3 linked regions of the Mytilus edulis genome follow. The protein of the gene in region 1 interacts with the protein of each later gene in a biochemical or structural test. Links are inferred from orthologs where the notes say so. Each region holds a gene or a part of one and is shown in the gene's direction. Other genes may lie near its edges. The genes, in order: general vesicular transport factor p115-like, golgin subfamily A member 2-like and syntaxin-5-like.

What was found.
Region 2: the proteins of general vesicular transport factor p115-like (region 1) and golgin subfamily A member 2-like form a complex in vitro, tested with the Homo sapiens proteins (2 studies listed by BioGRID). The link is inferred for Mytilus edulis from reciprocal best matches to the Homo sapiens genes USO1 and GOLGA2.
Region 3: the proteins of general vesicular transport factor p115-like (region 1) and syntaxin-5-like form a complex in vitro, tested with the Homo sapiens proteins (2 studies listed by BioGRID). The link is inferred for Mytilus edulis from reciprocal best matches to the Homo sapiens genes USO1 and STX5.

Annotation. Positions count from the first base shown.
Region 1 is NC_092352.1:26,330,451-26,342,302, forward strand, and holds the start of general vesicular transport factor p115-like, read left to right. Parts: upstream 1-7,090; 5' UTR 7,091-7,291; coding exon 7,292-7,357; intron 7,358-10,095; coding exon 10,096-10,182; intron 10,183-10,533; coding exon 10,534-10,598; intron 10,599-11,450; coding exon 11,451-11,524; intron 11,525-11,852. UniProt on the Homo sapiens protein: General vesicular transport factor required for intercisternal transport in the Golgi stack; it is required for transcytotic fusion and/or subsequent binding of the vesicles to the target membrane.
Region 2 is NC_092345.1:23,876,992-23,887,839, reverse strand, and holds the start of golgin subfamily A member 2-like, read left to right. Parts: upstream 1-7,848; 5' UTR 7,849-7,925; coding exon 7,926-7,973; intron 7,974-9,931; coding exon 9,932-10,093; intron 10,094-10,564; coding exon 10,565-10,617; intron 10,618-10,848. Other genes in the region: ribonuclease H2 subunit A-like, read right to left, coding at 1,572-2,495. UniProt on the Homo sapiens protein: Peripheral membrane component of the cis-Golgi stack that acts as a membrane skeleton that maintains the structure of the Golgi apparatus, and as a vesicle thether that facilitates vesicle fusion to the Golgi membrane.
Region 3 is NC_092346.1:73,716,292-73,727,433, forward strand, and holds the start of syntaxin-5-like, read left to right. Parts: upstream 1-5,478; 5' UTR 5,479-5,581; intron 5,582-10,524; 5' UTR 10,525-10,566; coding exon 10,567-10,764; intron 10,765-11,142. Other genes in the region: methionine synthase-like, read right to left, coding at 217-276, 742-848, 1,282-1,374, 1,620-1,689, 2,238-2,327, 3,025-3,221, 5,298-5,337. UniProt on the Homo sapiens protein: Mediates endoplasmic reticulum to Golgi transport.

The DNA of each region.
Region 1 (11,852 bases):
ATTCAGAATGGTGTGAGAATTACAATCAACTCTAGATGTTATTACATCAAAATCTATCATTAAATGGGGAATTGAAATTTTATAACATTTACAATTATAAGTTCAGCTTTAAGACTGAAAAATCTAAAATAAATCAGCAACACAGTGTAAGGGTTTACAATTCAATAACCTGTTAATCAGGACAATGAAATGTGCACTCTTCATTGAAGCTGAGCATAGTACATGTTTCAGATATCCTGTTTTTTTCTCAAGTTTTTGTTAGATTTTGGTATAACTACATGAAAAACAAATGCACAAGGTTCAAAAGAAATCCTTTCTGTCTCATTTAGTTCAATATTTCAAATACCATATTTATCTAAAGCTGCTATCGGAGAGTCACATAAAAACCAAAACATTTGGGCAAGTTGATGTACATGTTGTATGAGAGACAGTTAAGTTTTAAGTTCAACTTTGAACCATCTAATGTTCATCAGTACTGATGAGGCAGCAAGAAAACTTAAAGGTCAAAGGTGAAAGAAAAAACAGAAGGTTAAAAATGAGAACAAAAGAGGTCTCACAAATGTCTTGTCAATGGTATGATTTCTGAAAAATTAAGAATATATCTTGAGCTCGTGAGATCAAGACAAAATTTTCGACTAAAAAATTGGAATAACATATTTACATTAAAGATCTTCTAGGCATCCACAAAGACAACATGTAACAGTGAAACTTTTGTCATAAAACTTTTGCAAGAAAGCGTAAAAGAAAGTAACCAAGGATGTGATGTTACAACAGGGATCATTAAAGTATAATGTTTAGTTACACCTGATTAATTTCTCTACAATTCCTTACCTGAGAATGTATGTCAAAATGTTTGTTGGATTAGTTCAAAAATATGCTGCCTATTCCTGCAAATATAAAAAAAAGTATTGTAGCACCTGCTGTGTCAAGATCAATACGTGTAGTAATTGGATATGTTTTATAATCAAATGTTCACAACTCACACCCTATTATTTGGTTAAAAAGTTGTACCATATAATTTCTAGTTAACACTAAGATTTAGTTTCCAGTACATTATCAATCAATGCTATACACCAATATACATGTAACTATACATGTACCTATACCTGTAACATCAGAATAGTACAACAAGGTCTTTAAAGTATTGTGGACTAGGAGTTATCTGCAATGTGTTTTTTGGATGATTTTTCAACTAAATGTTTACATCTAAATTTGTGCTGTTCTGTGAAATCTACAATACAACCATAAGTTAATGAATGCTTTTGACCATTATGTCTACTACAGCCATTTAATTAAGAAGAAAATAAATCAGAAAACCTTTCTTATAATATATCCTTTTAAACAGTTATCATCCAGTCGCTAAAGTAGATTTGAAATCCTAGTTTAAGTCTGAAATGTATTTTTAATACTCTATTTCTCAAAAAGTATTTTTACTGATAAATGTTTGCACATGGTATTGCTCTCTCCTCATAGTAATTGTGTCAGACTCATTCATTTTGCTTTAAAAAAATCATGAAAGTTAAGTTTTTACGTTCAAATTTACCAGCAAAACATTAAAAAATATATCAATAAATCTGTAAACTTTGATTAACCAATATTTTTTTTATCTATAGGAAAACAAATTTATTAGAACCTAGAAGTTAAGAACTTCAATTGTTAACATTATTGTTTTTGTTAAATTTTTATGTGATGCTTAAATTCATTTATTTCTATCATACACACTAGCATCAACTTACCTGAGCCTGTGAGAGCTTATATATACTATAACATGTATACGGTGTATACTGGTAACATTTTACAACTGGATATATTTGCCAAGTGAAGCTGAAAAATGTTAAAACGGTTAATCACTGAACATTTTTTTGCTGAACATTGTATTTAACTAAAATCAATACATCTTCATATCATTTTAATGTTTAAATAAACCAGATGCTACGAAGGGCGCAGCTTTATACGACCCCACAGGTCGAACCCTGAACAGTTGGGGCAAGTATGGACACAACATTTAAGCTTGATACAGCTCTGAATTTGGATTGTGAATAAATAGTTGACACAACATAGGTTTCTGACACAGAATGAATGTGGTCTAAGAACTTAAACTTAAAAACTTAAAAATTTTAAATTGGACATTTAACTATTATGGTCCAATATCCAAAATCTAAATACATTAGATTCAGCATATCATAGAACCCCAAGAATTCAATTTTTGATGAAATCGAATAATGTTCAAATTTAGACCCTTTAGACCTCAATGTGGACCAATTTGATAACAGAGCCCAAATATTAAAAATCTAAATACATGGTTAGATTCACCATATTGCAGAACCCCATATATTCAATTTTTGTTGAAATTAAACAAAGTTTAATTTTGAACCCCGGTTTGGACCAACTTGAAAACTGGGCCCATAATCAAAAATCTAAGTGTTAAGATTCACCATTCAATTTTTGTTAAAATCAAACTAAGTTTAATTTTGGACCCTTATTCCTAAACTGTTGGGACCAAAACTATCAAAATCAATCCCAACCTTCCTTTTGTGGTCATAAACCTTGTGTTAAAATTTCATAGATTTCTATTTACTTATACTAAAGTTAGAGTGCAAAAACCAAGAAAATGCTTATTTGGGTCCCTTTTTTGGCCCTAATTCCTAAACTGTCGGGACCAAAACTCCCAAAATCAATCCCAACCTTCCTTTTGTATTCATAAACCTTTTATTAAAATTTCATAGATTTCTGTTTACTAATACTAAAGTTATTCACCAAGGTGCGAAAACCAAAAAAAATGCTTATTTGGGCCCTTTTTGGCCCCTTATTCCTAAACTGTTGGGACCAAAACTCCCAAAATAAATCCCAACCTTCCTTTTATGGTCATAAACCTTGTGTTTAAATTTCATGGATTTCTATTTACTTTTACTAAAGTTATAGGGTGAAAACCAAATGTCTTCGGACGACGATTTTCCACAAGTATGTCATGTACTTTATTTACCTTTTAAAAAATAAATATCTGTCTTTTCTTCCTAATTCCACTGTACTTGACAATGATTATGGTAGAAAAGAGATAAGATGAAATCTTTCTTCTTTTTGCATATATATTTAACCCATAAAATACAAACATGTATACAAAATTCTTTGAAGCAGGTTATTAACCCTAAGGCCTACTGTCTATTAAAGACCTAAAGAAGATAACACTAATTACCATAATGTTTAAATTTTGATCAAATTCAGTACATCAATAAAACAGTGATCAGATGTCTAACAATAGATAAAGGTAGTTGTAAACACTAAATATATGGATGGTACCTGGGCTTAAACAAACTCTCAATGGAAAATAAACTTTTAAACAAGCACCAACAATTTGTTTTATTTTTGCATAAATCTTTTTTTTCATTGTTTTCGTGGATCAACAAGTGTCCAAGGAAATATAGCAACACAACTGTTGTCCAAATCAAGACATGAAAAGATACCCATACATGTAGGTTTTACAACATAGATATAGTCATGCCATATAATCTAAAGAAGACTTCAAATATCAGCAAATGCACTATGATCGACAACTGCATGCAGGATTGTACCCATTTAAGCTTTAAAGGGGCACTAGCTGTCAAATTCATGTTCACAGATCTTAATCAAATTATCATATTTGATTTATAACAATGTAAAAGATTTATCCAAACTATTAAAAGTGTAAAATAAACAATAAGCAGGGCACAGGCATGAAAATATGTAGCTTCGCTTTGTGTGTATTTTGGTCTAGACACCACCTAATTAACTATTGAGTTGACCTCTGAAGTCATCCGATGACCATATAAGCAATTTAAACATAAATATAGATATAAATAGATTGAGTAAACTTGGATTTTTCTAGGTCTATTTAATTTCATAATAAAAATGAAAAATAAATGTTTCAATCATCGTTTTTACCTGTATAAGAATGATTTTTTGTGGATCGAATCATCCAATCAAATGATTTACCTTTGTTTCACTTTATATGTTGACATTCTTCTTCTTTAAAGAACTTTACACATACAATTCACGTGTTATCCATCTCAAGCAAAGGGGTTATATTGAAGTTCACATGAATACGTATTCAATGAGGTCGAATTATTCACTTGCAAGTGAATAACCCATAATCAATGTTTTTTAGCTTATTTTGACAAAATTGAACCATACTGGCTGCTTAAAATAATATATTAGATTTTTAATAAATCTTGTAGCTAGACTTCCCCTTTAAAAACCTAAACTGAACGAATTTTAATCTTTTAATTTAATTTTTTTTTAAATATTTTGAACAATAACAGTCAGATTTCCAGTGAATATATGCTATGATGAATATGATCATTTATATCCTCATAATTCTCATACAGAAAATTTTAATATTATATTGCATGGGCTTGCTTTTGATCAGAATTAATTTTACAATTCAAGGTACATGTACTTCTATACATGTCTATAGCATTTGTTTATGCACAGTTTTCTTAGAGTGTCATTCCTAAGGCCAAATTAACCCCATTGATGGTCTTTAGTCTGTTGATCACTTGATTTCAGGGTAATTAGTGTAATCACTTCTGATTACCATGATTACACTGTGCAACAGTTCAAATGTTTACTTTATTTTTGCAATTTCCATCAATCGAGACAATTTATAAGCATAAACATGATAAACATGATAAATTAATCAGCTTATTTCTGAAAGCAAGTATTTTATTTCAAATTTGTTGACTGTTGTCAGTTTCAAAAAATGAACAAGTAAGTGAAAATAAACACCTTATGTTGCAATATCCACAAATCATTATAGAACAACATAATCTGATGTTCGGTGGTTTTCGTTTGTTGATGTGGTTCATTAGTCAGTGTTTCTTGTTTCTATATAGAATGGTTTTACGGTTTGAATGGTTTTGTACCAGTCATTTTTGGGGCCTTTATAGCTTGCTGTTCTGTGTGTGCCAAGGCTCCGTCTTGAAGGCCATACTTTGACCTATAATTGTTTAATTGGCTATTATCTACATGTTGTCTGTGCAACACAAAACCATGAAACTTAAAGCCAATGATGGGAAAGTTGCCTTTAACCTGATCAATAAAACAATAACCTGCTATTGTAAATTAACTGAGCAAGGCGTCACAGTTCAAATGACTAGGTTCAAATGTATCTACTTCTATATATTCTGGATTCTCTGGTTTTATCCATCTAGTGTCTATCAACATTTTTGCCAAATATGACCAACATTTCTATTCATAATTTAATAACAAATAGTTTTAAGAGTCATATTTGAAAATCTTATTAATTTTTTTTCACAGTTTTTGAAAGAAAAATATTGCCAATAGTAATTGTATGAAAAACTAATTCCTTCCAAATTTTCAATCGCTTCTTTGAATTTTTTTTTTTTAAGTTTGAGATGTTGTAGATATTGATGTTACTTAGGACTGGAGTGGCTTAAATCAAAGCATAACAGAGTGTTCTTGCAATAAAGCAGATAGATATCTTGCTGTTCCTAACCCAATAGTATTATTTGGTCTAAAAAATTGCCAAAAATATGATATTTGAGCCTTTGCAAATAAAAGTGGACACACACAAATGTCTCACCTGTTGTGTATTTCTAATGAAAGAAAATGCTATCAGACATACATTATATATTTTAAGCTGTAAATAATGAGTAATGTTGCTGCTGCTGATGCCTGTATGAATGTTAAAGCTGCTACCAGTCCTGCTGAAGACAACTCTCCATACTACCAATTGTATAGGTTATTATTTGCTATATATATATATATATGGAGATATGCTGAATAACTGTGGTTAAGAGTGAAATAACTTACTAGTGATATATACTATTATATTAATAATGATAACTAAAGATGGGGATGAACAATGAGAGTATAATTGCTAGATTTTAATACAAGAAGAATATTTAAACACTAGCTTTGGAAGTTTAGTGCTGAAAAGTAACATAGTTTACAATGTGATCAAGTAATAAGTTTTCAAAACATTAAAAAATACTGAAAAATAAAGTTATTATCAACTGTTACTGAATGAAAGGAATTTTCTTGATATCAGATCCACAAGAAATACACCAAATATAGTTGACCTATGTATAGCATACAGTATAAAAAAACTCAAAAACTGAACTTTGACAACTGAACCATGGAAATGAGTTCAAGGTCATGAAGGTCAGATGACACCTGCCAGCTAGACATGTTCACTTAACATGTATAATCATTCCATACACCAAATGTATTAGATCTATTGCATACAGGACACAGTACAAGAAAAACAGACCAAGACACAAAAACTTAACTATAACCACTGAACCATGAAAATGAGGTCAAGGTCAGATACACTGAATATACTACACCTATATGATATGGACTTGACCACCAAAACTTAACCTTGATCCATGAAATGAGGTTTGAGGTCAAGTGAAAACTGTCTGTATGGACTGACAACCTTGCAAGGTACATACATACCAAATATAGTTATCCTATTACTCATAATAAGAGAAAACTTAACATTACAAAAACATTTTTTCAAGTAGTCACTGAATCATGAAAATGAGGTCAAGGACAATAGACATGTGACAGACAGAAACTTCGTATTCTGAGGCATCTATATACAAAGTATGAAGCATCTAGGTCTTTCACCTTCTAAAATATAAAGCTTTTGAGAAGTAAGCTAATGCCGTAGTAGCCGCTGACGGATCACTATCCATGTCTAGCTTTCTGCGACAAAAGTCACAGGTTTCACAAAAACGACAATTTTGGAAATCAAAATGGTCCGAACTTTAAAACCAGTTGACTATTTCCAAAATTTTTGGCACCAATGAATTTCCCTATACTTCATAATTTAGCTGACCTCCCTAGCACAATTAGTAAAATTGGAAATTCAGTAGTTTTATGGCTATGCAGCCTCTAAATTTATAATGCCATTAATAGACAGATATACTTTCTCTGTAAGACTGATTATATATATATTACCTCAATAATACCGTCACACAAATATTATAGCCGGCTTTCAAAAACAGGATGTAAATCTTTCATGCATCATTATTCTGTATAGTGTTGATTTCTAAATTTGTCAACAGTAAAATCAGCACTCTATAGTAGAAAGTGAAAGTAGATAATTCAGTTCGAATTAATTCTTTTTCAGATATTTCAAAGACACTTTAGAGTATCTTTCGATACAAACATTCGTTCAGTGGTTTATTAAATCCTTTATAAACAAAACATACTATTATATTTATTTACTGCGAGATTGCCACGTTTTAATACGCATGCGCACACTCCGGAAGCCACGAATCACAAAATGGATTATTTTCGAAAATATTTAGGTCCTTCACAGGGTGGCGTACAACCCACAGGAGCAGATACTGTTAGTAGAAAATGAATAACATATATCTTAAGCAAATTTAGAAAAAGTCTAATAACGCTATCACCCTGTACTTCAACTGTTTGCAAACGGCTGTTACCGGCTCAACCCCCTAAATAATTTTGTGAAAAAAATATGTTGTTATATCATATTTAAGTATCAATTATATACGTGAGTGTATGGCTTAGTGGTTAGGACTGTTAGAGTTTGCACTGAAGGTTTCGGGTTCAACCCTGACACAGGGAGGAAAAAGGGGGGGAGTGTACCATACACCTTACCTTACCCTTATCGCTATTTCATTTTGGAAATCTGTGATGCTAAATATGGCGTGAACACAACGCTGGAATGTCACTTGTTTCTTATATTGTAGTGTAACTTTGTGACGGGTCATGTTTATACATGGGCTTAAAACAGATCGATAACATACACCTTATCGCTAATCCTGGCTGACCCGGCCGCTTGAATCACTTTTCCATTGTAGCGTCAGATATTTTGTTTTGTGACGTCAAAATTTTACGGGAACCCGTGTGATATTCAGTAATGGCAGACAAATAGCGATAAGGTGTATTATTATAGCATGTAACGTTTTCTTCCTTAATTTACATATTCCTGACACTGACAGTCATTACAACAATCATAACTTTTCCATTTTGACGTTATTTTCTGTTATGACGTCATATTTTTCAGTCAGGGGTACTACTTGTACAAGTTATTTTTATTTACTTATAGAAGTAATATTAATATACTTATACAAGTGAATTTTATTTACTTGTATAGGTAAAAAAAAATATGGCTTAGTTATGTCCCTTAGACATTCCGATTAATTACCTATATATAGGTACAAAAGTTATCCTTTCTTCTTTTCTTAAGTTCTTAGGATTTCTTTGCTCTAATAGAATTTTAAATTGTCTGCCCAGGGAAAAAAATTAACGGTCGTCCAGTCGCCAATGGCGACCAGAAATTGACCTGGGCGATCTTTTTACTCAGTTGTGGTAGCCCAGGTGGCGAATTGAAAGCAAGTTCTTGACTGACCAAAAATCAGCAATTTACCGTGACTCCAAGTACTGGCTACTTCACAGACAAAAATTTAAATTCAAAAAGAAAAATCTTTTTAAAATGTATTGCATCAAAGTCGCGGTCGCGATAAACAAGGATGTCAAATCAGTGTTTACCTGTGACTAAATATAGTTCATGTAAATTCAGGTCACTGATTGGTCGTCTATTGAAAGTCGGAATGTAAGTGTAATTTCATGGACAATGAAAATCCCATTTGTCTGTTATGAGCAATTTTTGAAGGCCTTGCCCAAATACTTAGATCTTTGCGCAATCAGTTTCTTTGTTGAATTAATGAGATGAAACATTGAACACTATTAAAAAAAATTGAGCTAAGCAGGGAAAAATCATCAAAGGCAAACTTGTCGTCGGTAAAATGCAGTTTTTGGCTTATAACTCAAAAACCAAAGCATTTAGAGCAAATCTGATATGGGGTAAAATTAATTATGAGGATAGATCTGTCTGCCCTAAGGAAATTTTGCTGTTTTTGGTTATTATCTTGAATATTATTATAGATAGAGATAAACTGTAAACAGCAATAATGTACAGCAAAGTAAGACCTAAAAATAAGTCAACATGACCAAAATGGTCAATTGACCTCCTAAGGAGTTATTGCCCTTCATAGTCAATTTTTAACAATTTTCATATAATTTGTATATTTTCACTAACATTTTCCACTGAAACTACTGGGCCAAGTTCATTATAGATAGAGATAATTGTAAGCAGCAAGAATGTTTAGTAAAGTAAGATCTACAAACACATCACCATCACCAAAACACAATTTTTTCATGAATCCATCTGTGTCCTTTGTTTAATATGCACATAGACCAAGGTGAACGACACAGGCTCTTTAGAGCCTCTAGTTCATCAATAGACAGGTGTCTTATACAATATTTTAAGTACTAATGCATCCTTAGTCTGTGAAGGCTGTATATCGGTGCTTTGCTTTTGCGCCAAAATAATCTTTCATTTGCGCCAAAAATTGAACTTTCATTTGCGCCAATATTTCAGGTAAATACGCATGATACAGGTTAATACAGATATTGATAAAAAAAAAATCTTTCAAAAACCCTGTTGATAAAGTTCTTGTTAGTCAAAACATATTCCTCAGAAATCAGTCATCATAAAACCATAAATAAACCTTTCAATGCGTTTTTGATATTATACTTTCTGCTGGTGTACCCCATGGTTGCGTTCGTTCAAAGTTTTGATAATTGTTTAGTTGTCAGTTGGTATTCTGTCTTTACAAGTTATTCAACCTTTGCAAGTTTTTTGGGACACCTTAATGACTTGTCTTAATTTTTCAGATCATACATGTATATGATAAGACTTATTTCCTTGGTTTGTCTCTGAATTGACAATGTCCATCTTGACACATCTAAAATGTGAACACTATATAAATTCAAACCTAAGTGACTCTCAGTAATACTGTAAAAACAAATCTTAATCAATTCACGATAGAGCGACGAATGTTCGTTTCCTTTACTACCTGTAAAATGGCGCAAATGAAGTATTTAATGTTTGGCGCAAATGAAAGATTGGATTTTTAAAAAATTGGCGCAAATGCAATGCGCCCCTGTATATATAGATTTAAACTACAAATGTACAAAGCCATTAGTACCCACTTTAAACACAAAACTATATTTCTAAATACACTTACTAATGAATCAAAAATATATTGTTTTTAGGTTGAAAGATTAGTGGACAGAGTTCAATCTTCAACATTACTGGATGATAGACGAGATGCCGTCCGAGCACTTAAAGCAATGTCTAAGGTACAATGTAATAAGAGTGGCAAACGATTTATTTATTTTTGGTATCAAAATCAAAACAAACAATTCTAGCTATAAATTTCTTCCAATTAAGTCTGGTGTCTTAAATTTTTTTATCTTTCAGAAAAATATATCTATTAGGTCATAATTATTATTTGTTGGATTTAAGAGATACTGATCTGAATCATTGTGATTTTAAAATTAAGATAATGATTTTAAAAAGATTTGAAAAATTCCTTTAACAGGAAAAAGTGGGAAAAAGAAAATGACATTTAACAAATGTACAAGAATTTTATTTTCTAGGAACAAAGTGCAATATTTATTTACTTGAAACAAAATTTACATTTTTTATAGAAATTTCGACTGGAGGTTGGGACACAAGCAATGGAAATACTCATAAAAACATTGGAAACTGACAGGTTGGTATGACTATAGTATATGATACAAAATTCATGAGACATCATTGATCATTTATATTGAAACTTAAAAAAAGACAACATTTAACTTTGTACTTGTTTGGCTTTATAACTATTTTGATCTGAGCATCACTGATGAGTCTTATGTAGACGAAACGCGCGTCTGGCGTATTAAATTAAATCCTGGTATCTTTGAAAACTTTGACATGTTTATGGCTCTAGTATAACAATTTGCTTGCAATTTTGTTAAGAAAACTATATTGGCCATTAATGACCATGATGACCCTTATTTGGAATAATGACTATTCTTTATTTAAGAAATAATTTTATCCTGCCATGCTCTATGCTCATTTTAACATGGGTAGGCATTATATTTGTTAATATCTTAATACCCAGGGTTATCTAGGTATTAAATGTTTTCAAATATAATGCCTACCCATGTTAAAATGAGCATAGAGCATGGTAGGATAGAATTATTTCGATTCTAATAGGAATATTTGAACTTTTTCACTTCGAAGCTGACCTATAGTAGACGCTCAGAATGTCTCCATTTTGATTTCATGAACCAAAAACGTTATAGAAAATCAGCAGTTTATCAATAAAAAAGAACAGAAACATTTAAACTTACTTTTAGAATGTTTACATTTAATTGCCTAGTGAGCAACATTAACATAAATGTCCATTTGGATCTCTGGCGTTGTTCAAAATTCATCTGACGTTGCAATTTCAATTGTGACTTCAATCATGTGCAGCCAATGTTCTATTTGAATTAGAACATGGCTTTGTACCCAAAGCTTAAGAAGAACGATACTTTAGAATCTGTTCTAAAATATAATATACTGTTTGTAATTGTAGGAGTGATGCAGAGATTACAGGTTATGCCTTAGATGCCTTATGTAACATCATGTCCAATGAACCGTCAGAAGAAGGTAATCCATGTTTTGTCAAAATATTTTTGGATAAATGTTTGTTTTATTGAATATGAAAGGAATTGGTGCAACAGGTTGATGCATTTATAAAAAATCTAATTTAGTTGGTCAATAGTTAATTTGCATCTATATCAGGGCTTCCTAAAAATATTTGAACCAGTCGAACTCTAGTTCAGATATAAAAATGCAGTCTTAGATTTGCTGTTTGTTTTATATCCATTTGTATGTGATATTTTTTTTAAATTGTAAAATATTTAAAAAAAAAATGTTGATGTCTGTGATCTGTATGTTATGTAATTTTGCAGTTTTTAAATTTGAAATATGAGAA
Region 2 (10,848 bases), on another chromosome or scaffold:
AATGATTCTATAACTTCATAGCCATTTTTACTTGATAGAAATAGAAGATAAGGGTTTTTTAAATATTTGTTTATTATATATAAAGTTCAAGATAGAGTGATTAGCAATCATATATAGTTGGTAAAAAGTATCTCTGCAGAAAGAGAATGATAGTGAAATTGCTATAACAATGATGACAATATGTATGGATGGTTTGAGGTGAAATAAATGTAAGCATAAATAACCATTTAGAACAACTCAAATAAACAGAGATCTCACTTCTCTGTAATGACTTGATCCCCATTTAATGCTTGTTCATGTTGAGCAGTCTTTATAATGGTAATACTGTATCATGATACTAAACCCATAATGGGAGGAATTGTACTTGATTGTCATATGATGAAGACAGAATATTTCTGTTTAAATGAGGTCTGGAGATGGCATGTCAGTAACTGCTAGTAGTCTTTTGTTTATTTATGCATCATTATCATTTTGCTAAGTTTCTTTTGTTACCTATTCTGACATTGGACTCTCAAGTTCTTTTAAACTGTGTTTTACTGTGCTTATTGCTATGTGTTTCTTTATTCTACATTGGCTAGAGGTATAGGAGAGGGTTGAGATCCCACAAAACATGTTTAACCCCGCCGCATTTTTGAGCCTGTGTCAAGTCATGAGCCTCTGGCCTTTGTTCATTGTTGTTAGTCTTGTATGACGTATATTTTCACTGAACTAGTACACAATATAATTAAGGGACCTGAGCTCTGGTGCAGGATTTTCTCACTACGTTAAAGACCCATAGGTGGCCTTTGGCTGCCCTTCTATGTTGTGTCTTGTGTACTATTGTTTGCCTGTTGGTCTTTTTCTTTTTTAGCCATGGCATTGTCAGAGATTATTTTTGACCTTTTTTAATGCCCCTTTGGTTTCTATTGCCTCTTCTTGACAACTTAAGTTCCGAGATAGTATTAGTTCAGAACATAAGATTATGGGGTGAATGTCATTCAGAGAGCATCCCTACGAATACTTTTATATATTTAATTATCCTGCATCTTAATAGAATAAAATTTTGACACAGAGATATGTTGTGCTTCCCATCAGGAAATTCAGAAAAAGACAATCTAATAGACAGCAGCATTGCTAATTAATTCAAAGTCACTTGATCATGACCATGATCTAGCTAGGGGGAAAGGCCTCGAAATAGTCATCAAATTGTCAGATATATTTGGATAGTAATGCAACATTATAGAAATTATAATAGATCTATCACAAGTAGTTCAAGTTCATGGGACATTAGCAGAAAACTTAACAAGTGTTGACCCATCAGCTGGAAAAGCAAAACCTTACTCAGGCATTTTGCAACGAAAGTCACACGCAAGATAAAAACCTTATTGAGTCCTTTAAATTGTTTAGTTTTAAATGCTTATTGACGTCACAGAATCAAATAGTTAACCAATAGAAACTTGTTGTTTAATTTGTATTTAATTGATTAAATAACTGAACACATTATGGGTACAACTACATGTACTTGGAATCTCAGACTTCATTTAGCCTGCAGTCTCCTTGGTTTAGTAAGAATAATCTCTTGCACCTCAGCACTATAATTTTTGAACTGTTTCTATACATCTATCTTTAAAATAAATATGTCTGTCCATTTTAGGGTTATGATCCTTCTTACAAAAGAATGAAGTCAATGCCATATTGCTTTTGTCAGCGTTTTCATCTTCATCATCATCTTCCCATTTCACTGGGGCTGCATCTTTTTCTAAAATAATGGCTGCCGTAGACCAACTGAACCTAACAAATTGTGGAAAACCAAATACATAGTCCATATTGTTTGCAAGGAAACTTTTAGTGTTAGGATCGGCTGGATAACCTGAGCCATACTGAAGATCTTCTGTATTTATATCTTCTTGGAATTTCCATTTTTTGACAGCCTTATCTCTGGTGACTTTAGCACATATACTGGCTGCACTAACGATTGGGTATAAAGAATCAGCCTTCTTTGCTACTGTTATGTCTATTGATGGGAATATACCTTTTAGTTTCTCTTGGTATTTAGTTGGATCTCCCACTGTATCAACGTAAACTTCAGCAATGTTAGCCCCCCTTTCGATTGCGAGAGCCACCAGTCGGATGGCACAGTCATGTGATAAAGCATTAAGGTTATATTTTGTTCTACGGAGCATGCTAGTTGATATAAAGGTAGGGGAGAGCACTTCGACCATCCATCCAATCATATCATTGGCTTCATTTATCTTATCAAAAATGCTCTCTCTTTGTTCTTCTGTCAAGGTCTTGGAATCAGCAAATCCCATTTCTCCAAATTTCTCCTTCAAGGATATTGGACTAAAACAAATTCCATAAACCATAGGACCAAGTACTGGTCCCCTTCCTGCTTCATCAATTCCCAACCAGCATGGTTCTGACTTGACACAATCTGGCAGTGGAGATTCTAATATTAAATTCTTCATATTATCTTCTTTCTCCAACTTAATTTCCAATTCCTCCTTTACCTCCATTTTTACTTTAAAAATTACTGATATTAAGCAATCGTCTCCTGGATCTGAAGAGAAATCAAAATAGAAAATTTAGAACAGTGCCTCTGTTTGAATATTGTATAACCATTCGCATCATAAACAATCCCCATTGCTGGTCCTATGTTTGTAAAATCAACCTGCATGACATGAACTGTTTAAAATCGGTTTTCTTTGATAGGATTATTCTGATTTATGTCCCTTGCTGCACATTTCAAATATAAATGCATTATTCAAGAAAAAATGATATTTCAGAGCCATTCCTTGTAAATTTTTGTTTTGCAAAATCATCAAACACCAGTCTTATAGCTCATTTTTCAGGTTTATTTATTACCGGTATTCTTAACAGAAATTTCATAACCATGTCTAGGAAAGTTAAGGAAAAATGTAATGTTTCTGGTTTGACCAGACAAAATTAAAAATTTACCCCTTTTGAAATTTTTTTTCAGTCTAACACTTATAAACGACATCTAGCCTTGTGATATTAAAAACTCTAAAGCACAGTTATCGTACTGAGACTTAGAAATCAAATTAGACAATCAATCAAAATACTTGTATAAATTAAAGCAATGTCATTTAAATGCTACATGTATGTGCATGCATGTCACTTTAATTGTACGAGCAACAAATATACATTTTGTACAAACAGAGGCTTCCTGAACAAAACCTTCCATTTTGATTTCTACATATAAATATTTACACTTTTCATTAGATATCTATATACAACTGTCAAAATGTACAAGAAATTCTAATGTTCTTTATTTACAACAATAAACAAGAAATCCTGATACATGTTCTACTTTTACATTTACATTCAATAATAACAGTTCAGTAATTCAGTTTGTCAGAACAATAGAACATTGTCACATAAAATCACATAAACATGTATAATCCTGGTAAAAAGGATAATTTGAAATAAAATCTGGCTTCAAGAAATCATAGCATCACATCATCAACACCATCTAATCTATAAGCATCATATTATCATGATGCTAAAAAGTCTTTGAGAGAACAGTTACTGCAATATTTAAACTGATAAAGTTTTCATAAGCCAATGGTTTCTCTTGACCCCTCATCTTGGAACGTTGTAAAGCAATTTCTAATCACATAAATATACTTATTAAACCAGGTGCTCCGCAGGGCACAGCTTTATCCCCAGTGGTCGAACCCTGAACAGTTGGGGCAAATTTAGTCACAATATTCAAGCTTGATACTGTCAGAATTTGGATTGTGATCAAATTTTTGACATAATATAGGTTTTTGTCACAAAATTAATGTGGTCAAAAATCTAACAAATCTATTGCACAATACTGTGCAATTGAAAATTTCTTCTTGAAACTTTTCAGAATTCGAAATTTAAAAAATTCTGAAAAAAAAGAAATCCCTTTAAAAAATGGTAAAAGCAAAATCCCCCCTCCCCCCCAAACTTTTTGAAACCCCCCTTGGGGCAATAACCCTTAAACTCAATCCCATGCTTTCCTTTGTAGTATTGAACCTTGTAGTACAATATTAGAGAGATCCATACACTTAAACACAACTTATTGTCATGATTGTTTGGAAACTAGAAACATGCATGCTTCTTTTTGGCCCCTTATTCCTACAATTTTGGGGCAATTAACCCAAAACTTAATCCCAGTCTCCCCTTTGTTATATGGTACATTGTGGTACAATTTCAGAGAGATCCATACAAATACACACAAGTAATTGTCTGGAAACTAGAAAATGCTCGTTTTGGTTCTGAATTCCTAAACTTTGGCCCCATAATCCCTAAAATGAATCCAAACCTTCTACTTGTGGTTTTAAACATTGCGGTTTAATTTCAGAGCAATTAAAATACTTGTGCACAAGTTATACTCCTGAAACTAGAAAAATGCTTGTTTTAGGCCCCTTTTGGGCCCCTAATTCCTAAATGGTTGGGACCATCATCCCCAAAACTGATCCCAACCTTCCTTTTGGTGTATTGAACCTTCTGAAAAAATTTCATAAAAGATCTATTCACTTAAACAAAAGTTATTTTCAGGAAACCAAAGTGTCTTCGGACGACGACGACATCAGTCATCATACCATTATACAAGGCCACCCTTAAAATATTGTTTGTTTGGCATTGCCGACCCACACTATCAGCAGGTGGGTAGGTAGGTAGGGATTTTTTTTTTTTTACATTTAAAAGCCTTATACATGTAAATCATGAAGTCTCCAGATCAATGTTGTCTCAAGCATTGCAGCATTGTTGTGTGTACATGCTGGTGGTTTCTTTGAAAGGAGTCAACCATCAATGTCACATTCTACATCATATGGATAATTTCACGTAAGACAGTCAGTTTTATTGGCAAAGTTAACCAAAGTACCCAGAAAAAAAACACAGAACTGAGGCAGGAAACTGACAAATTAACCATATAAAATGTATGACATGAAAATTGAACTTTTATTGTGGGACTGCCCATTGAACAGAGGCCTGATGTCACATCTTGAAGTTGTGGTCACAGTTTGGTAAAATTACCATAATTTAAATGGCTCAACCACTACGGCTCCTTGTACAAATGGACAAAGATTTAAAACTTTGCTTTGGTTTTATAAACATCACTTTCTACACCATATGGGTAATTTCATGGCAGTCAGTTTTAGTGCCATACTAAACCGTAGTACTTGAAGGAAAATGGCAACCTGTGGGAGGAAACTGACTAACCTTATCACATCTGACATGAAAATCAAACCTTAATTTTGCAACTGCCCAACTAGGGCTCAAACCAATACCTGGAGGCTAGTAATCATACATGTAAGGTGTGACGAACTACAATAAAAACATGCCTGATAAGTTTTGAGGATAAAGGATCTGTTCCAAATTAGGATAGCAAAATATCAAAAATTTGGAAGGTTGGCACAAATAGACATGGTGTTTATACTAATATTATCCAAGTGCAAGGTTTTTCAGGGATTTAAAACGTATGATAAATTCAAAATGGAATTATGCAGCAGGACAGACAATTTTTGCAGATAAATAAATTATTGGTTGTAATGCTTGTTTGATTAACAGAAATCTGGACATGCATTACATGAATACAGATAAATTAATGAGCCCTTAGAATTGTGGAAAAAGAGGGGATTTTATTCATCACTAGTACACTGGATTCATTTATAAATATGTTTCTGTCAGTATCTTTTATGTTTTAAGAATTATCTTATTCATGTTAAGAAGAAAGGCAAGAAAAGGGGGAAGTACTTCAATTGACACAAGATGCTAGTCTTTAAAATATGTATGTTTTGTTCCAGGCTAGCATCTACTGGTACAAAACTACTATAAACCTGTAAATCATTATGGTCTTTAAGCTTTGGTGCTTACAGCCATAATTATCTTGAATGCATCATTGTGGGTCTGACTATAGTAGATACTTTGTTCTCTGGTTCAAGGGAAAATTTGTCAATGATAAATTTCAAATATTTAATAAGTTCATCAAATGTAAGAGCCACGCATATTTGTTCTGTGATGTCCCGGTGAAAAACTTCTATCTCATGAAGCGACAAATTCAAGCAGAAATCATCTGTTTCTGCTTTACAAAAGATAAATCTGAGTCCTCTACAAGGTCTCTCAGAACGTTTCTTTCAAAGAATAGCTGAAATTTGAATTTTGATAAAATCCATCTTCCGATCGTCAACAGAGCGTAAATCAACAACATGCGAAGATGATACAGAAAGAGACAGCCATTACCGGCTTATCTTTTTTATTAAACAGTCATAAGTAAATATTATTAATTTTTAAAACAGCGGTACACACATGGTTTAAATATTTTGTGTGTAAGGATATGACCTTTCATTTTTTAAAGCGATCACGTTGACTACACATGTCAACAAAATTAAAAAAAATGGCGGCATATTATTTTATCATGAACGCAAATCGAAAGTACGAAGAAATGACATACCAATGACTTTTATTGTCAAAATTTATACATAATATTAATAATTGAAACCTGTTCACACATTGTGGTAACGTACGCTTTACAGCTTTACGTAATTGATCTAATATTAAAACTGAAAGTAGGTCAGAGTATTTTTCGTTTTCCATGATGCATTATGGCATCACGCGGCCGTAGCAAGGTGATGCATTAAGGCATCATACGGCGGTACCAAGGTGATGCCTTATAATGGCATCATACGCCTTGAATGGGTTTTAACATTGCAGCATAGGGAGATGCCTTCCCCTGCCGGCCTCTTTGATATTACTTTTGGCAGACTTTTTCTATTTCATGTCATTTAAATGTTTGCTCCCAATACAGTGTAAGGCAAGCGCTTTTAAGATCATGATTTGAAATAAGTAAAGCCAGGAACAAACTCGGTGGATACGATCAATTTCCGGCACAATTTCGATATTTTTAAATTAAAAAAAATATATTTCTGAAACGCAAATAAAATTATTTGGGCGGCAAGTTTTTCAGTGGGTCGGGCGGCAATGCCAAACAAATGAAATTTTATTTTAGGCCCAATCCCAAAAATTTTTTGGGGTCGTATAAAAACAAAACTTATATATAAATGTACAAACAAACAAATATTCTATTGCTAATCACAGCACCCGCAACATGCACATGGAGCAGAACAATCAACATTAATTTCATACTAATGATTGTATGATGTACATGAACCTATAATACAATGTATATATTGGACTATAAAAGAAAGTGTACGTTTTATCATAAAAATTACTGGTTCACTTCATTCAGCAAGAATTTTTACCATTGTTCGTCATGTAGGTATCCCCTTTAGGACTCTCATAAAGGTGCTGTTTACATGAACAGTATAAATTTTTGAAATCAAATTAATGTCAAATTAATAATGATAAAATAAATTATTATAATAAATTATAACAAGGATATACAAATCCTTAATTATAAGTTCAAAGTTCTTTATTTCCAATTAAGGGCCCCTGGCGGGACATAATGACAACAATAAACAATACATTCTGATTCTTAACACATAAACATATAATGAAGATAAAATTAAAATTTCTACTGACTGATAACTGTTTAAATTATTTTGGATTTAACAATTTTGAACTGGAGCGTGCTTGATAGAGGCAACTCGTTTTCATATGTTTTATATTAAGTATGAAATTCAAGATATAGTAATGTGGACTTACTTTATTAAACAGCTCAAAGATCTTCAGGGTAAAAATTTGTGGTCTTCTCACTTTCGCGCCATTTTTATCTATGGAAACAGACAGAGATGCTCCGAAAAGCTGTCGTAAACTGTATCTAAACTTCTTTTCCTACAAGGAGTGCAAAACGTTTGATTTTTGAAAGTTAATGTAATTTTTAGTTGTACAAGACTGAAAAAGTTACCTGAAAACGTTTTAAACGTGTAGATTCTTTACAAACTGACTGCGTGTCATGAAAATGCGCACGCACATGCAATATCCGGTAAAGAATGGCCGACACTGCGAAACGGGAGAAAATCGCTGCTGCTAGGAAGAAGGTTATCATCCTATTCCATTATCCCTTTATCACTCAATTTATATATATTGTACAGTAAAGGAAGAGCATTTTTTCCAAATCAAATGACCGATATGTACAGTTTGGTTTCTGTATATTTTCTTTCTTTCTCTCTTCTTTTATTTTGACAGCAGCCGGTTCATCAGTTCGTTTATGCACACAATAATAAAAAAATAAGCTTTATTTAGAGTCGGCAAATAAAGAAAACATCAGCTCAAATGAGCTGATACATGTTATTAAATTAATAGGGACTGTCTGTTTGCTGTGATATAGTATTAATCAGCATAACTGATATGATCATTAAGGCAAAATGAGCTGGAGCGTAGGAGCCTTGGTCCGCAACTTGGTGGTAAAAACAGTTAATCAACAGTGATCAATTCTAGCACTTCTGCAAATGTACAAGACAGACGCCTCGAAACATACCTACCAACCCTCTGAGTCTTGTTTTGAGTAGGATACCCCTGTGCAAACGACGAAATTATATCTTGCTTTTATATTTTGACCTAGAATAACCGAAGATTGTATTTCTCATGACTTATTCATTGATTTCAATATAGAAATAAACCTAACAATCAGCAATCATTTGAAAACTTAGGTCTGACAGAATTTTTAATGTCCCTTCCATATATAATTAGGAATCACAATTCAGTCCTGCTATGTAAGGGAGCTACCATTTGATTTTTATGGGGGGGGGGGGCTAGGATGAAATTTGAAAAAAATAGGCAGGACAGGAATTTTGATTAAAAAAAAAAGGCAGGATGAGACACTTGCAAAAAAAAAGTCAGGATGACAATTTAGGTTAACAAAGTCAGGATAAACTAAAAAAAATGCAGGACAGAATAGAGTGAAAAATAAAAAGGCAGGACAGAGATTACAACTAAAAAAAAATTCAGGACAACATTTTTCATCCTAGCCCCCCCCCCCCCCCATAAAAATCAAATGGTAGCTCCCTAATGTAAACTCCAGTCCAATAAGATAGAGGTCTGTCTAGATCAAGCGGCAGAGTAAAAAAGATATAGATGAATGCAAATCCTAATGTCGAGCAGATTTGAATGATTTATTTTAATTTTTATGACCAAGTTCACTAGGCAATAAATCTTTTTTCAAATCATTGAATTTCTGCTGGTGGTCTGTTCGATGTTTGTAAGCGTGCTTGTAAATAGTAAAGAACTCATATATATATATAAAGAAATCAAAATATGGAATATTATGAGCTATGAGACTTGAACATTGTAGAAGGTGTTGAAACAGGCTGAAAACCCAAGCTTGTATAGATTATAACAGTGAATCAAAGAAAAAAGTATATTTATTTAACTTTTGTTGGAGTTTTGTAGAAACAGGTCATATACAAATGTATTTAACTTGAAAATGTCGTTCATGCAAAATCTATGACAAAGCAGGGGAGATCTCCCTCTTTAAAGGTTTCAGAGGTTGACTGGTATGCTGCTAAATATATACTGAGCAGTGGGAAATTGCATTTTAAGACATATTGGTTACAATTGAATTGTCCATACTATTTTATATTGTGTGTGTTTGTGCATTAATTGGGTTGACAGGTGTTTTGTTTTGGAAAGGAATTTTCCTAAAACTTTCTACAATACAAATTACTGTTCTGGAACATGCGATTTTATCTGCATATGGACAAATGTATACAGCTAGGTTAGAGAAGTTTGGGGGAAAATTCCAAAGGGATTGATTGATATGCAGCAAAAATTTACAAATTAAATTGTTATATTCATGAAAAGAAAATAATACTTTATTGAATGCTCTCGTGACAGGAGCATGAGTCGACTCACTAACCATGCTAACTAGAAAACATAAATGTGAAAAGAGATATTTAATTTGGAACTTAGTGAACTGAAAGATTATTGGTTTTGACTGGCATATTATAATTAATTAAATTGCAGTAATGAATGGATAAATTTTATATTTCTGTTTCAGTTGAACCAGTTTAAGAAGAAAACTGGGAAAACTTCTCCAGCAAATGCTAAAAAGTCTAAGATTAATGACGAAAGTACACAGAACCCAGAAAATGAAATTAAGCATACAGCTGAAAACACATTCCAAAACCTAAATGGTAATTCTGCAACAGATATAATCCAGGTAAAACACTTTCAAGACAAACATTTGTACCTTGTTATTCTAAAGCAGATAAGATCTGAGTAAAACATATTCTATCTGTAATGATGTAATTAATGTTTTTGTAATAGATACATTTACTGATAGGACATGTTTCAATTTCAGTATGTAGTAGATTTTTTTTTAAATTATGAATAAAACAAAATTTTCTACATTAGATATTAGATATTCTTTGAGAGAGCAAATATTTCTTATAGATTTAATATTTATTGTATAATTCCTCACTAGCATATATATCCAAGTAATGCTCACTTGTCTACACTTGTTAGTCAACCAACAATGACAGTTATTAGATGAATACCTGTATGTTATTAAAGAAGTTTAGTGTTATTGTAGAATTTTATAAGTATGTAAAAAAAGTTATATACATTTGTATTTACATTTGCTTGTATGTGTGTAGATTTAGTAATCTGAAAGTCTCCTATTTAAATTCAGACCAAAGATTCTCCAGACTCCATAGAAAACAGAAAAGATAGTGAAGATCTAAAGTAGGTTAAATATACACCAAACATCCTACAATATGTACAATGTAGATATTTCATATGATTAAAAGTTTGCATCCTTTTTTCTTTTTATAGACATATTCAACATATGTGCATGTAAACACACAAATGAACATACTGTAAACCAACTTATTTTCGCGGATACTTTATTTCGCGTTTTACCAATTCTAGTCCGTTTCGCGCCTTTTAAAATTCGCGATTTTCTTATTTACTTGA
Region 3 (11,142 bases), on another chromosome or scaffold:
TATTTCTTTAAAAACTTCCAATAATATTTTATACCATAAACTGGAACATTAACATGTAGTAAATACACTATATCATACATGAACAGTCAATATTTAAAAGATAACAGTTATTCTGAATGCACATTCACATCATTTTCATAAACAGTATCTAAATAATAGAGAATTTTATTTAACACTTTCTTTATATTCTACTATCAATGACTATTGGCTACTTACAAATACTGGACACTCAATGTTTTCTGCTTGAAAAAGCTTATTTACTGCAAAAATGGCTGCCTGAAATAAAGAATAATGTTGTATTCATGTTGCATTGCTACTGCATATCCTAATGCTAATAGTATATTGTCATGGAGAAAATTTGTACCAGAGTGCAGATGTATTCAATGGATTCTTATTCATGTTAACATAACTTTTGATGGAGTAATGGATTGTATTTATAATGAAAACATTGCAGCTCTCAACCTACTGACAATTTTCATCCAATTCAAATTTCCTAGGACTATTTATGAATATGACCTCCTTTAATAAGAATCTATAAACTGACAAAATAAAATGAAGTTTTCCATATGTTTCACCTTATATGACCATATAACTGGGATGTAACCCAGGTCAAAAATTTCATTTTCTATATCCATTTTAATACAAAAATCAGATTATACTTTTTTATGTTAATAACTATCTAAATTAAATGTCAATGTGATTCAAACAAGTATGTTGATACAAGTAACAACATGTTTATACCTTAGAGTTAGCTGTATCAAATATGGTTTCAATAAGTAGAACATCTGCTCCTCCATCCAGTAAACCTTTAGCTTGTTCATAGTAGGCATCTACTAATTCATCAAATGCTGCAATTCAAAGCAAAACTACATTAATTCTAACAAAACATTAAGCCAAACATAACATTGAAAGAAAATTTTCACATTATATATGGAAACCCATACAATTAAGAATTATAAATGAATATCATAAGACTGTTCACGTTATGACATCACAATACCTTTCAAATTCTTAATAAAACTCTTTAAAGGATTTTTTTCCCTATTCTGCCAATGCTTGATTGGTCTAAACTACACACAATCAGGAGGTAAAAAATCAAAGTTTTTATGAAAATGTTAGAGTTATCATTCTTTGACTACTGAAAGGGGTAAATTTTAACAACACAAAATTTCAACACAACTTGGTGAAAAATGCAAGTCAGTGTCAGGTTTTTTGCTTACCAAGCAGAGTTGGAGAATTAAAAAATAACTAAACATGGCCTATTTATACCTAAACACTTACTTATATTTCTAAAATCTGGTTTTTCTACTGATGGTGAAATTGACAAGGTTCTATTGGTTGGTCCCATGGCTCCTGCAACATACCTCTGTACACCTGAAATAAAAAAAGTGGAAATTTTTTTTCTTAAATGCTCTGGCAATTTTTAGATATAAAGAAAGCCAATGTATACATAAATATACATGTATGTTAAACATTTTCAACAATATAAATTAAATTTAATTACAAATTTAGATAAACAAAACCTGAATTTAAATTATAAGGAGAGGAAAGTCTGAGTATAACCTAGACTGAATCCCCCTAGTTTATCTGGAATTTAATGATAAATATTCTACTGTTACCTGTGGCTGCTGTGACATCATTAGCAGCTCTCTTTGCTAGTTTTGCTGACTCATGATTTAGTCTGTATACCTAAAACATATCAAAAGTAAATGCTGAGTGGTTAAATTTTTGCAACTGTATTAATCTTATTTTTGGAACCAACATTAAACAAGACCAGATAAAATGCCAAATACACTAACCTTCTTCTAAAATCTAATTCAAATTCAGGATCTAACAATGTGATTTTTAATGAAATAGGAAATGCAATTTCTTTTTTGTTACACTGATTTCTTTCCATATAAATTTTACCATTTCAAATAACATAGGCTTTTTTCTTCATAACTCATTTAATAACTGCAAATGTAACAGAAATATGTAAACAAAGACAATAAACTTTTCAAAATATTTTAACCAGGGCTTACTTGTGCCATGGAACATACACCAAAATCATTAGAATACATCTCACAAGCAGTAAGTTAAGAGAAACGTTTATACAAGCAGAAATGCTGTTGTGCTAAACAATATTTTAATTCTGTGCAGTTTTTGTGTCCTTTAAGAATGTTCAATAAGATCTCATTATCAGTGTGTATGTATGTGAATTAGCTTATAAATCGGGAAAATAGTAAGTTATTTCATACCATATGTTCTAAACCATAATCTGCTTGTGCAATGGTGGTACCACTGAATGTGTTTGTCTCAACGAAATCAGCTCCTGCTTCAAAATAATCCTGAAATGTAAAGTATCAAATGTAATTTAATTCTATATTCATTCTTGCGATTCTGAAGACTAAATTTAATAAAAGTATCTGAATAAACAACTGTATCATTAGTCCTTGAGTAACATGATATGCCCATCTGCATCTTATTCTATATGTTACCATAAAACATCCATAAATCAGAAAATAAAATGAAACATGCATAGCATCATCTTATATCTGTATAAGATTAAAAAAAAAGCCAGGTAGCCTTTGTTGTAAGTTTTCCATAGAAATAAATGTGCCAAAATCGGATTGTTGTGATGTACATTCTTTAGTAAGGTACAGGAGCAAAATCATCACTATTTTTGTTTCTTCTTTAAAACAGTATATAACCAATCTGTATCAAGTCAATGCTTTCATCAAGTTTCCAAAGAAAATAATTGTTTAAGTTATTGAATGTCGTTTATAATTACAAAATGTTGTTTCACTAGGTTAAATAAAAAATTGCAGATGACAAAAGCAAGTGTTGAAAACACCCTAGTGAATTGATGTCGAGAAATGTGAGGTGATCATGATGAACTAAGGAAAGCAACTTCTTAACCATAGTCACCTAGCAGCCTGAGCCCTGTACATGTACCTACATGTACTAAAACTGTATCTGATCTAATCAAGCTATTAGCATGATTAGCATCAACTTAAATAACATTCAGTAATTTACAAATTATACCTTATGAATTTTATAAATAATGTCTGGTTTGGTCAAACTAAGCAAATCATTGTTTCCTTTCAAACTTTTGGGATGATCAACAAATGCAGTACCCCTGAAATCCTCTTCCTCAAACCGTTGCTGCTGAATCATGGTTCCCATTCCGCCATCAAATATCATTATTCTTTCTAACAATGTCTTCTCTATAGAGTTTTTCACTAAAAACATAAATAAGAGGGTCATACAGTGGGAACCTTCATGATGAATAATGGATAAAAATCTTACCAATGACTTTAACGGTAATTAAAGGTGCAGGAAGATAAAATGTGCATTCTCTTTGTCAATAAAAAATCACGATAATTTCTTTCCAAAGTAAAGGTATCGGATAGTTATTTGGGACCTCTCATGACTTATGATGAGGCTTTTTTGATAATTCACAATAAAATGGTAACAAATTTGATGCTAATGGTAGCCCAAAATGATTTTGACGCCTGACAGTAAAGGTCATTGCCTTCCCTCATATAATTACAGTATACGCCTGACAGTAAAGGGCATTGCCTTCCCTCATATAATTACAGTATAATCAGTAAATCAATCTGTCAACATTTGTGTCTATAAGGCCAACTAAAATCAATTAGTAGATTTTCATCCAAATTTATGAAAAAAATGGGGTGGGTGGGAGAATTTTATTTTTTAAATTTTATTTCATATGAAACCCTCTTGTGATGTGTTCTTCATATACATGATATATATGCAAGTGTAATAAAACTTATATCATGTATGTACATGCATAAGGTTCCATATATAATTTTTCAATAAATATCTCTGATTGGCAACCACTGTTCTACATGTAATTGCCGCTTTAAAAACCTATTTTACATGTTTTATAGTAAATAGCAAAAACGTACAGAAATGCTCTCTTCAATTGCAATCCCCACACAAAATTTTTTTTGTTGCTTTCTAAGCATTGGTACATGTGTAGTCCCAATGAAATGAAGCAAATGCATTTGTATGCAACACAAGTATTATATGTATAGAATAAAATGAAAAATAAGTATAGAATAAAATGAAATATAAGTATAGAATAAAATGAAATATAAGTATAGAATAAAATGAAAAATAAGTATAGAATAAAATGAAATATAAGTATAGAATAAAATGAAAACTCAAACAGTGTTGAAATAATAGGGTTGGTCCTTATGCAAGATGCAAATATAGTTACAATATAAAACATGAAGTTGTTTAATAACTCTATCGAGGGTATTTGGACAGAGGATATTTGCTGTTTGTCAACAAAAGACGACAGCCATGGGTAATTCTAAATCTAAGGGCTTGCTATAAATGAGTATAAATTACTAAAATGCGTATGTTTGTCAACTTTTTTATCTCAATATACGATCATCAATTTAACAAGTTCATGCTTGTGTCAATTTCTTTATTCCAGTCTAGGTTTTTGTACCAATGTGTTTCACGCTTTGGGTATCATTCACAGGCCAAATATCCTGACACAAAGTCATTGTATAAATAAACTAAAAATCAAAGGTGTTCTAATCACAAACATTTGTGACATACCGCGATTTGTGTTTTTGGACAAAGCATATTAATCGTAACCCAAATAGTTCATGCACATCTCTATAACAATCTCTATTTTCGGTAGATGATGTTGTCATCATAGAGTAGAAGAATATGTTGACTTAATCATTAGTAAGATAACTCTAAGAAACGAGAAAAGGAAAACCGCAATTTGAAACAGGAAGTTTTGAATGAAATGAAATTATAGATGGTTACCGGTAACAAAAATTAATAAATCCGGAAATCCTAATATTTGCAAATTATAAAAAACCGGGGCAGGAAGATTTCAGAGGGGCGGGCGGGGATGAAAATCTATCAATTAATTTTAATTGTTAAAATGTTAAAATTATCAACATACAGTTACTCATTAAACATATTATAACAGTGAATCCCATGCCAATCATGTTTTTTTTTAAGTGAAAAATCCTCATGATTTAAGGTTTGAAACCCTTTGGCTCTTCCAAAAGTTACTTTTCTCAACTACTTTCTAGAATTATGATATAATGGGGAAGGAAATATTGATTTAGACATGCAATTTTGTACTTACATAAGAGGAAAAATCAGTCATAACTATTTTCTCAACATGCAGATTCATAATGTATGAAATATTGGCCACTCGCACTCCAAAATGCAGACGAATTTTGTAAGGGAGATAACTCAACACACATCAGCTGTTCTGATGTTTCATAATTTTTTTCTAAATATTCTAAGCAAGTACAAACCATTTAAATAAATTTCCTGGCTGTTTGCGGCTGGAGGCATTTTTGTAGTGTGTCTGACTGTCTTGTTGTCTTTAGATTGGTTGGGAAATTGTGTTTTCTGGGACAGTCGTCTTTTCACGTCCGAACAGTCCGCGGTTAGACAACCAAATGCCGGATAGACTTACCCACAATGCATTCTAACAGTTGCGCTTGCGTCAGGAAAGCGGAAATTACGTCTATTTTGAGTCGTGGTGGAAAGAAACATAAGAAACAGGAGTCACTTTCTGTTTATTTCAAGTATTATTGTAACTAGAACCACTTTTACTATATGATATTTAAATAGTTTAATCCCAACAAGTCTATTCCCACTTGATTATTTTTTTCAAATTAGTTCTGGTCACTGTTTTGATACTATTTGACAGCTGTCATTCACCTCAACTCATGAACTGTCATTTCATGATTTCACTGATTTCAGGATTTATGTAAAGTTGGTTAGGTATTTCATTTTATATTTAATATTTATTTTGAAATAAGACCAAATAGCAGTGCTTCACAAGATAGCAATACAGTGTTGAACATCTACATGCATCATAATTTTGACACATCATTTTCTTCCAGACTCTCAGTCATACATGTGACAGAGTTGTCAAGCCACAACTGGAGATTTGGAAATTTTCAGCTGGAGTTTGGGCCTCATAACTGGAGATTTTTTATCGACCTTTTTATAGACATACGCAAGATTTTTTCTTGCATGTTTAAACTGCATATGGGTCGTTTTAAAAAAATGTCGAATTTTCAGTACACCCATGCTAACTTTTTTATTTCTAATGGAAATTTCAGTTGTAATGGTTTAAATGAAAGCTTGTCGGATTTGTGATTCAGAACATTAATAATAAACACACCTTACATCTATTTTGATAAGATTAAACTGCAATTAAGACCCATTTTGGGGGTATTTGTCTGCGTACAGTGTCAGAAAAACACATTTCAAATGATTTTTTTGCGATTTTCTGATCGCCTTGATATCTGCAAAAGGGACTTTTTAAGAACGTTTAATATTACTCTAACGAAAAATCGTAGCTTCTATATCATTGTATGTAACATATTATCTACAAACTAAATTGAATCTGCGTACAGGAGGTTCATGTCTTTCCTGTTACCGCTACTTAAATCAGCCGTGAAATTATTCTCCCTATGAATATTGAATCAGTCAGTGTTGATCTCAAAAGTGCAAAGTAATCTTTACATTTAAAACGCCTCGTTTCTTGAACGAAAGTGTAGAGAAAAGAAATTTCAAGACATTTAGTGAAAAAAATATAGCGTACTTTTTTTCATGTCTATGCTGTTACCACCAATTTTGATTAAATACACCAACAGTATACTTGTAAAAAGTGCAATAACGTGTTGGAAACCAAATTCACAATAGAAAAACATAATCACTTCACCAAAGGGAGTAGTTATTTCACAACAGCAATCAAAAACGAAGAAATTTGTCTATCCTGTTATGTCTATCCTGTTACTATGGTTGCTATGGTTACAGTAACAGGATAGACAATTGTAGACAAAAACGTCGTTAATTTTTTTATCTTAACATATAGGTGCAAAACGAATGAAATATTTCGTTGTTTGAAGTCATCTTAAGGTTATAACGTATTAATCTTCCCAATTAAGCATTCGCAGGTGCAATACTGATATCGGTAACAGGATAGACTTTTATATAGTAATATATCAGAAACGTACGTTCCTGTTACCAATGAAATATAGAGAAAAGTAAACTAACTTATGAGGGATTTACTTGATGTTGGGTTTATTTGAAAGGGTGAAAAAATGCCGAACAATATAAATTGCTATCTTAGACTTGCATTACTGGTGGTAATTTTTACAACCTTTGAAAACCAATTTTTAGAGGCATTTTTCAGTACAACCTGTTAAATTGGCAAATAATCTATTATATTACAGAATGAATATATATAGACGTTTATTCTCTTGAAAACCATCTAATTGTCTACGTAAAACAAGCTTAACATTTTATCTAAACCTTTTCTTAATAACCCAAAATTTCTTTTGAAAATGGTAACAGGATAGACAAAATAATGTACCACCGATCAAAAAATGTTTCAACATATTTTTGTATGACATCATTAAGATTGCATCTTTTAATATGTTGTTCTTAAAGTACTGTTTGTTTTGATTTGCTTATGTAGAGGGTTGTTTGAATAAGTAACTTTTAATAATTTTTTCAATTTCAAAATTCGGCATTTTTTGAAAATGACCCATATCTTCCTTTTTTGTTAAAACACAACAATGATTCCATACCTACAAGCACCTACATAGCCATTTTAACTTAGTAAAATAGAAGATAAGGGGGATTCAAATATTTACTCATCATAATTTTATATAGTTCAAGATAAAGTGATCAGCCATCATACATAGTTGGCAAAAAGTATATCTGCTTTAGCCACATTGTCAACTTTTGTACCACTACTGAACATGTTTGTAACAGAAGGTGTTGAATTGATAAAGTTGTGGGCTATCTGGTTGGTGGCTGTCTCCATATTTTTGGTCAAGTAATTAGGGCCACCATAGTCAGCTTTGCATGAAGTGTAGTAAGCATGATCTTAATTTGGCTAGATATATACTGTGTCTTCTTTTATTTGATGCTGGGGCAAAAGTATTTGGTGATAACATACAGTTTGCATTTGTCAAATTATAAGACAAACACACTTATTTAGGTATTGGACCAGATAGAAGACATATCATATTTGAGTTGATTTTATTGTCTTTGAGGTTCAGTATAAACTAAATCTGTTCCATGTTTTCAACAGCATCAAAATTTATTAAAGTCGATGTTGATACAACTGTTCCATTGTCAGTATCACTTTTAATCATCCAGACATGTTTATTTAAATATTTAGTTGATTACTAGGTAAATGCCAATCATCTTTTATTGTTGTATATACAGTCTAATCCTTAACACCTTCACTGATTACTCGAGGCTATTTTCCTATTTACCTTTTTGACACAAATTCCATTACAGGAAACTTCCGATTTTCTCGGACTTTTCCCATATCAATTTAGAGTTTCTCGGACTTATTCCCTGTCTGTATTAATTTTGTAAACAGAAATGTCTACTGAAATTTTTTCGAGATTGACATTTTCAAAAAGCGGAAGATTTCAAATTTTAACGGGAGGGACGGAAGAGGGTCTGAAAAGCGGGAGATTTTAACTCCCGCCGGAAGAATCACATGTATGCTCAGTATCATGAACCTGTGAGGCTGTGTGTCAGTGGACTCGCCTTCAAAAATCCTATGTGTAAACCCAGAGTGCAGACACTAGTTCTCAATGCCAAGTTTTTGTGTTCTCATTGTGGTGGAGTGGGAATTAAGTTAAAAAATTACTCTTGACCCTCTACATCAAAAAATTGATTTCTAATCTCCATGTTTAATTTGCCTAACCAAATGTTATGGAACTTTAAACATAATGCTTGTAAATAACCATAAAACTCAGATCAAGTTCTAATTTGGGTGGTGTCACTATTACAGTCATGACAGTTCTCTAGTTATGTCCCCTTGTTATGTTGTATGCATGCAGGGTATCATCTGTGTCCTATGGACGGAGCCTATGGATAAATTCTGCATTTAAGGGGAAAAATAGGAGTTGCTTTTCTGGTGGGGGTGTCAACAATTATTCATTTTTCTGTTTATGTCAGTTTGATAAAACTACTTGTGATAGATCAATGATATATTCTGTAAAGTTGCCTTACTATATATATCAGTACATTGCGTATATCTATATACAAATGTACATTATATGTCAAATCAGTTCAACTACAATTTCAAGGCCCTTCCCTCTAGGTCAGAGTCTAGTAACTTTGAATTAATTTTGCAATTTACAGTGTTAAGTTTTTCTGCTTAAGTCTGTTTGATAGGAATTACTTTCAGACTCTTTTTCATAGATCATGGGTGTTTTCTATATTTGCATTACTAACAGTACATGTACATACATGTACATGTATCAATTTGTCAACTACTCTCTAGTTCATGGTTCAGGGACTTTGAATTAATGAGCAATGTTGCTGTCTATCAGATTGCCTTTTTCTGAATTTTCTGCTGACAGGCAAGACATACATGTACATGATATATCTTTGAGTAAATAGCATCTTAATTAACTTGGTTACTGCATTTTTCTGGTTTGCACACAAGTAAGCTTTTAATTCATGTCACAAGTATTTCCAATGCATTTTTGATGATGCTGGCTTTCAGAAAGTTGTTGCCAGAAAATTTGTAAAGGTAAAAAAAAAATTATTCAATTTCAAAAAATTTAAACAAATTTTCATGTTACCCAGTATTTCTTAAATCAACTTATTCCTTGATGTTAAGTCAATTCAATTTTGGAACACTTTTTATTATGAACATGTGTATTCATACATTGTGTGTACCTAAGATGTTGTAAAGCTTATTTGTGACTCAATAATTTACCAGAGTCCTTAATCAAACTGGATATAAAATGTGTCTTCATATTATTTAATTGTTAGTACATTTACATGTATACTTGGAGTTTGTTGTTATTACAAATGTAAAGATTTGATTATGATGTCAGTAGACAAATTATTAAGATACTTATATACTTCCTGTATGAATGGGATTATAGTATTATAAACCAGTAAGAATGCAGTTATAAGTTTCTTCTTTTTTTGGTTTAAGCCCATTTTTTAGGAGTTTAAATGTAAGAAAACTGTTAGTAGGATGCTTTGCGACAGAGATAAGGTGATATAAATACAGGATATATGGTATTAGTCTACCAAAACATCGTTATTGAGAAAAATAATGTTAATCTTAAGCTGGAAAATAGCACTTGTTCCAAGTGGTCTGTCTTTGACATTTGGAGTTTGACTTAATACAAATAAAATAAAACTAGAAAGATGAATAACCAGGATGTTAACTAGGGTGACATACTATTTGTTTAAAACCAGTTTACATACATATGTACATATTTATATTTACTTCGTCTATTTATAGACTTATATCATGTTATATGGTAGAAAAAACATCCAAAATGGTAAAATTCAGGATATTTCATTAATATCTTTGTCATGTATGTAGACATATTGAAGTTATATGATTGTATACATGTAAGTCGAATCTTAACTTTGTTTCTGTTTAATAATTTATTTTAAATTAATTTTTAGCGATTGTTAAGCATTTCATTTCAATCATGTCTATTTTTGAATTTCCTTTTTTTTTAACAGAAAATTCAAAGTTACAGATAGTCGTATTGTAAATGCTGTCCAATGATAGCTAGACGTAGGAGAAATAATTCTGGTTCTGAATTAAAACAAGAAAACGGATTTGTACAACACAGTGGAAGCACATTTGTAACCAGCAATCCAACAGTTCCTACTACCAAGTCAGTTGTTGAGCCAGAAATGTCATGTCGTGACCGTACAGGGGAGTTTTTATCAGCATGTAAAGTTTTACAAACCAGACAGGTAATTTATGTTTTAGATGTATAATCACTGTTGTAAAGCTGTTAAAATTGACAACAACCATAAACATAATTGCAATATATAATTATTAGAAAACAGGAATGATTTAAAGTTGTAAAATGAAATCAGTTACATGTACAGTACACACAGTTAATTCAGTCAAAAATATTCTAATATGTAATTACATGTAATATGACAACTATTGCTTCGATTCACAATGAATCACTGAACCCCTTTGTCTTGACCTGGAGTTGATAACATCCGAAAGTTTTTACATCATTACAATACATGTTGATTTTTAAGTGAATCACTGTGTGTGTGTACTGTATGCTTAAATGGCATGCATAATGATGGCAATGCTGTACAGTCTGTAATAGATCA